Linked DNA regions of Arabidopsis thaliana. The protein of the gene in region 1 purifies or fractionates together with the protein of each later gene. This does not show direct contact. Each region holds a gene or a part of one and is shown on either strand. Other genes may lie near its edges.

Region 1 (3,813 bases):
CGCCAGTGGAATATAAGGTTAGAAAATATGAGAGTAAAAATCAGGAATTAGGACATGTAAAATCCAGAAATATCTGAGGACGGATCTCACGATTGATTATAAGATTCGCATTACATTTTCTCTTCATTTTTTTCAGATAAGAAAATTGGATTCTATCAATTTGTCGTCCTATTGTTCTTTTCTTGTTTGATATACAAATACGAGTCACTGATTTTTTTTAGTTGATTGGTAGAGTCTTAAAGGAAACATCAAATTCAGACAGTCCTTTTACAACCATTTCATCCATGTCGGCTCATTATTTCGCACCACAGAAGAATAACCCAAAATTATTAGAAAACTTGGACCACTATAAGCACTTGAACTGTGGTCGTGCACTGACTAATGTGAGCCCGTTTTGGTAATTCTCAGCTGTGTGCGTAATTGATGTCGGCGTCACCTTCAGAAACTTCGAAATTATGTGTGATACACCGTGTTTCATAAATTCATACACGTCATTTTAGATACAAAATTAGATATTTTCATTTGATAAAACCGAAAGAAATAATAAACTTTTTCTTTCTTGTTCTCATTTTAAGTCTCTCTTTATATCACTTTCTATATATATTGAATCATGCAAGGAATACACATAAAATACTTGTGTTCTTGTACTTGTTTGGTGACTCAAGCAAGACTCCCAAGCTATGGCGGAGAAGGTACTTTACCAAGATCTGAATTTTCATATTACTTCTCTTTTATTGATCATATCCATAATTACCCTCTAATAGAGTTACTAATTAAGGTAATAATGATCATGAAATTATATGATATGCACAAACAGGTAGTGATGATGAAATTGAAAGTGGATCTAAACTGTTCCAAATGCTACAAAAAGGTCAAGAAAGCTATCCGCAAATTCCCTCGTGAGTTTCTTTCTTTAATTTGAGTTTCTTTGTTCATTTGAATTATTGCGGGTTGAGAAGATTCTGAATCTTGATAAATGGATACGATTTTGTGGTATGTGTTGTTTTGCAAAAAAAAATAGAAATAACAGACGAATTGTTTGATGAGAAGTCCAACACGATCATCATCAAAGTAGTTTGTTACGATCCTGAGAGGCTAATGAACAAACTTTGCTACAAAGGAGACGGTTCTATCAAGTCCATCGTGATCCTTGAGCCACCCAAACCGCCTCAACCCCAGCCTCAACCACCTCAGAAGCCTACTGCCCCAGCCCCAGCCCCAGCCCAAGCCCAAGCCCCAGCTCTTGTTCGGCCGGCTCCGGTTCCTGTTCTTGTTTCGTCTTCCGCTCCTCAACCGATGCCGATGTGGCAGCCGTATCATTGTGGGCCGTATTACGAGGCCCAACAGTACCAATGTTATGGAAGGCCCGTTTACGAGAGCTGGGGAGGTGGACGACAATGTTGCCACGAAGATATGAACTCTCAAGGATGCTCCATCATGTGAAACACTGAACCAAGTCTCCTCCTACTCATATATAGACTATAGTATATACCAGCAAATAAATAACTACACGAAGTTATTTTTAATTGTCTTCGTCTTACCAGTATTTCTATTTCGAGTCCTCGTTTATGTATGTAAACACTACAGGGTTTTGTTTCTTGTGTATATCACGTTTTGGTTCTAATACAACTTTTATTTGCTCTTCTTTTCTTGGTAGTAAAATACAAATAGTAAGATTTTTCGCATAAAAATATAGTTTCTGTTAGAAAATAAAAGTATATTAGCACGAAAGAATGGAAACTAAAAACTCTGAGACCGGCCTCTCCAATGAGTGACATGAGTCGATGAATACTCAACTATTATGTTTTTACAGTTTACTTATCCACAGATGACACTGTTTCTTTCTACTGTGAAAAGAGCAGCCGTGGTGCTTACACCTCCACACGACACCGTTTAAACGGAAACTAAAAACGACGTGACGTTCTTGTCTGAAACACTTAAACGACGCTATAGTGTACTGTAACTCCAGAGAAGGCCTTATCTTTCTCCAATTCTCAAAACCCTCTTTAACACTCTTCCTCTAAGCTTTTTAAATCAATGGCTTCCACTTCCACACTTCTTCTTCCATCTCTCTCCTCTAAGAATCTTCACATCGCAGTCCCAATAAGAACCAATAGCTTCGTTCGTCGAACAACAAAGTTCTCAACAAAATGTTCGTCGAATCCAGAGTCAAAGGATCAATTCATCAATCTCACACCAGCACCTGAATCAATCAACACAACAAGCGCAGAGAAATTCCCAATAGAGAAACGAAGAAGATCAGAGATCATACGAGACAGAACACAAAGAGGAATCGAGAAACCAGAGCCACCAAACTTCGAAATCGGTTGGAAAAGAACAAAAGAGATAAACTTGGAGAAACCTAAAGGTTATGTAATAATGGATTTCTTAGAAAAGTTCGAAGCTTTAATGGCGAGAGAGTTTGGATCAAAGGAGCTTTTAGCTAAAGCTGGTGAGATTGTTGCAGAGAGAGCTAGAGAAGAAGCTGAGGTTTTGAGAGATGAAGGTAAAGTTGAAGAGAGAATGGTTACAGAGCTTTTTAGGGTTTTGAAATTGATGGAGATGGATTTAGCTATGGTTAAAGCTTCTGTTAAAGATGAAACTTTGAGTCAGAGGATTGAACAAGCTAGAGCTCGGTGTCGACAAGCTATTCTTGTTGCTAATTCTTTCTAATTCCTTCTTCTTCTACTTGCAAATTGAGTCAAAAGTCTATGAATTTTGTTTATAGTTTTACACAAAACAGAGCTTCTTCATCTGTAAAAGATCTTATTTTTTTGGTTCTGTAATCATCTCTGGATCATTCATCTGTTACTTTAATGGTAGAAGAAGGATTGAAGATGAGAGTCTCATGTGAAGAATCAAAACAAAGATTCATGCTTTTGGTTTTGCAATTTGTGAGGAAGCTTAAGGGTTTTTGGGAGGAAAAAACTTAATTAGTTGAGAAAATTTTACTTCCACTAGTTTCATATTTCAAGATATTTCACCAAGACTCAAGCTTTATTGTACACCACACATTAAAAATGCAAAGTTTAATCATTTTAACAAAAGCTTCACAAGCAGCAGTAGACAGCAACAATGGTGGCAGTCAGATTCTACGCTGTAGAGATGTCGCTACCATGTTTATGTCCATGCCCATCATCGCCGATTTCTCTTTCATTGTGTTCTCCGAGATTCAATCTTCTTAACACAACAAGCAGGAGACTAGGTTTGTCTAGAAACTGTAGAACTCTGCGAATCAGTTGTTCATCTTCATCTACTGTCACTGACCAAACTCAACAATCGTCTTTTAATGATGCTGAGTTGAAACTCATTGACGCTTTGATCGGAATTCAAGGCCGTGGCAAATCTGCTTCTCCTAAACAGCTCAATGTGTGTAAAAACTTTAAACTTTCTTTAATTTTCCGTCGTGTTTATGATTTGAGAGATTCTCTGTTGTAGGATGTTGAATCTGCTGTGAAAGTTCTTGAAGGTTTAGAAGGCATTCAAAATCCTGTATGAAATGTTTTCTTGTGAATCCTTTTATCTTCAAATTACCAAATTCTGTTATGTTTTGTTCTTTGACTCATTTGGTTGTCTTTTGGGGAATGTTGTTTAAATGTTTAGACAGATTCTGACCTAATCGAAGGTCGTTGGCGATTGATGTTCACCACAAGACCTGGAACTGCATCTCCAATCCAAGTCAGTTCTTCTCACACATTCATCATCATATCTCCATTTTTTCTAGATGATTGTAATTTGTGTGTAAGAAGAAGAGCAATGGAAGGATTTGTCTCTGCAGAGAACATTTACAGGAGTTGATGTGTTCACTGTGTT
Region 2 (3,074 bases), on another chromosome or scaffold:
ATGATTAAAACATTTATGGCCCCCACATAAATAAGGAGTTGTGCAGCAGCTACAAAATGGGAATTTGATAGAATATACAATAAAGATATACAAACAAGAACAAATCCTAAGGAAAAGGCTGAAAATATTGGGTTGGGAAGTAATACCACTCCCAGACCCCCTACTAGAAGACCGGATCCCAGAAAAACTAAAAGAAAATCATGTATTGGTCCAGGCAAATCCATTATATTATTAAAATAAGAAAAAATCGAAATCCTTTTCATGACCTTATTAATTTAACCAGGAAATTTGTTTTTTATATGTTTCTAAATAGAGTGAAATTAGAATCTAATGGATATGAATTGATGTAGATACAATTATTAGTATTAGGCTGTTTTCTCTTTTTTTTTTTCTAAAGTGTATTTTCAACCTATCAATTTCAAGAAAGTAATTACGAATATATTATATTAAAAGAATGTGCCTTAATACTTAATATTATTATTATTATATAAATACAATACAAGTTTTTAATTAAATTCTTTATATAAATATAATTCAACAACTTGGAATTCTTTTTTTAATCAAATTAAAGGGTTTACCCCATTTTTTGTTTGAGGTGAATTCCAAATTGTTCGAATAGTGTAATCGTCAATTACTGACATTGGTAAACGACCCAAAGCTATTTGATTATAATTCAATTCGTGACGATCATAAGTGGAAAATTCATATTCTTCAGTCATTGACAAACAATTTGTTGGACAATACTCAACACAATTACCACAAAATATACAAATTCCAAAATCAATACTGTAATTAAGCAATCGTTTTTTTCGAATATTAGTTTCCAATTTCCAATCAACAACAGGCAAATCTATAGGACATACTCGAACACATACTTCACAAGCAATGCATTTATCAAATTCAAAATGGATTCGACCGCGGAAACGTTCCGATGTTATTAATTTTTCATAGGGATATTGAATAGTTACAGGTAAACGATTTGTGTGGGATAAGGTAATCATGAAACCTTGACCAATATACCTTGCAGCTCGTAGGGTTTGTTGACCATAATTCATGAACCCGGTTATCATAGGAAGCATATTGTAATTATCTCTGAATAATTTTATCTTTGTTTCTGTCTCTTGTTTAAAACAAATAATGAATATATTAGATTCATTTTAAATTTAGAGTGAAAAGAGTTGGAAAGAAGTGGTTAATAATAGATTACCAAGGGAAATAGGTAAAAGAAATTTCCATCCAAGATTTAATAGTTGATCCATTCTTAGCCTAGGTAAAGTCCATCTTGTTGCGATAGAAACGAACAAAAACAAATAAGTTTTAGCTAATGTAATAAAGATACCAATTGTTGTTCCAAAAATTTGATCCCTTTGAAATAGCTCCAGAATAGATATATACGGAATAGAAATATTCCAACCGCCTAAGTATAGAACTGTTACAAATAATGAGGAAATTAATAGATTTAGATAAGAAGCAACGTAAAATAAACCAAATTTTATACCTGAATATTCAGTTTGATAACCTGCTATTAATTCTTCTTCCGCTTCTGGTAAATCAAACGGTAACCTCTCGCATTCTGCTAGGGAAGAAATTAGAAAAATGATAAAACCTATAGGTTGACGCCACAAATTCCATCCCCAAAAACCATATTTTGATTGTGCCTCAACTATATCAACTGTACTTAAACTGTTAGATAATCCTAGTCGGCGAGAACATTACTATTTTCACCGCTATTTCAGAACCGTACATGAGGTCTTGGCCTCATACGGCTCCTCGGGGGCCATAAATAAATCTAAGGACCAGATTATAATTTAGATGGATATGATGTGTTCTAAAATGGATTAAATATATCTGGGGTCCCGAATTATACCAATGGAATTCTGTCTGCTCAAATTCTAAGAATAAAAAACGCGCTTCGGAATTCATCTCACCCCTTTACAAATTTGAATTTCTATTTGTTGAGTAATAACTTAACCCTTTAATAAAAAACTCCTAAAAAAAAAAAGTATTTAAGCCCATCGTGGTTTTCGATTACGAAAAATAATTAGACATCCTATTTTTTTATTATTCATGACAGAAATTCGATTTTATTTTCGAAATATATGAAAAAAAAAAGAGCCTTGTTTCGTTCCTATTCTTCTTTCTTTTTTAGAAAAAAGTTGGTAGACTTATAAAAAATAAAGGATTATTTCGTTTCTGATAGTCATTACATTTGTCGGTGGATAGGAGCATACTCTGAATCGGAATCTTGGGGAGTACTGTCTGATCATTTCTACTAATTTAAAGCCCCAATTAACCTTCTTTTTTTTATCTTATGTTAGGCCTAAATATCCTTTTCAATTTGGTTAATCTCTATTACAAATTCTTTGTGTATTTTGGTGTTTCTAACCATCCACTCACTTTTACCTAATTGCCGCTCACTTTGTAATACATGTATGTTAATCTATATAACTGATAGTGAAAACGTCATCCGGTTACCGGTTAATATATTTAACCCGCTTCAAGTCAGGATGACTAATCAACCAACCTTGGGGTAAAGTGATTCTTACACTTATGTTTATTTCCGTTTAACCTTTGTACATAGGAAATGAGACTCATTTTTCGTTTTACTGCAAATTTCAGAGCAGTTTTTTTTTCACTCATATATAACTATCAAATTCCTTTTATTAATTATTTCGATTAATTCGAAAGATAAATATATATTCCGTTTTTTAACTGATTCGTCTAGAAGAAACGGAATAGTAAAAATAAACGTTTCTGTTTCAACGAATCGCACGTAGAGATATTGATAAAACACATAGAGTTAATGGTATTTCATAACTAATCGATTGGGCAGCAGCTCGCAGACCACCTAAAAAAGAATATTTATTATTTGATCCATATCCTGACATAAGAAGTCCAATAGGAGCAATACTTGAGATGGCAATCCATAAAAAAATACCGATATTGAGATCCGCTAAAACAAGGTGATTGCTAAAGGGAATTACTGAATAACTTAGTAAAATAGAGATAACTGCTATAGATGGTCCAATACTAAATAAAGGAGTATTTCCTCTAGATGGACGAAGATTTTCTTT

Evidence for each region.
Region 2: the proteins of CRR41 (region 1) and ndhI purify together in Arabidopsis thaliana (affinity purification with mass spectrometry, with the first as the bait; one study listed by BioGRID). This does not show direct contact.

What each region holds. Positions count from the first base shown.
Region 1 is NC_003070.9:18,932,305-18,936,117, forward strand, and holds CRR41 (potassium/sodium hyperpolarization-activated cyclic nucleotide-gated channel protein), read left to right. Parts: upstream 1-1,994; 5' UTR 1,995-2,037; coding exon 2,038-2,673; 3' UTR 2,674-2,995; downstream 2,996-3,813. Other genes in the region: AT1G51090 (Heavy metal transport/detoxification superfamily protein), read left to right, coding at 681-692, 818-899, 1,022-1,443; AT1G51110 (Plastid-lipid associated protein PAP / fibrillin family protein), read left to right, coding at 3,076-3,369, 3,439-3,492, 3,604-3,678, 3,779-3,813. UniProt on the Arabidopsis thaliana protein: Required for both formation and activity of the chloroplast NAD(P)H dehydrogenase (NDH) complex of the photosynthetic electron transport chain.
Region 2 is NC_000932.1:118,684-121,757, forward strand, and holds ndhI (NADH dehydrogenase subunit I), read right to left. Parts: upstream 1,080-3,074; coding exon 561-1,079; downstream 1-560. Other genes in the region: ndhG (NADH dehydrogenase subunit 6), read right to left, coding at 1-224; ndhA (NADH dehydrogenase subunit 1), read right to left, coding at 1,164-1,693, 2,774-3,074. UniProt on the Arabidopsis thaliana protein: NDH shuttles electrons from NAD(P)H:plastoquinone, via FMN and iron-sulfur (Fe-S) centers, to quinones in the photosynthetic chain and possibly in a chloroplast respiratory chain.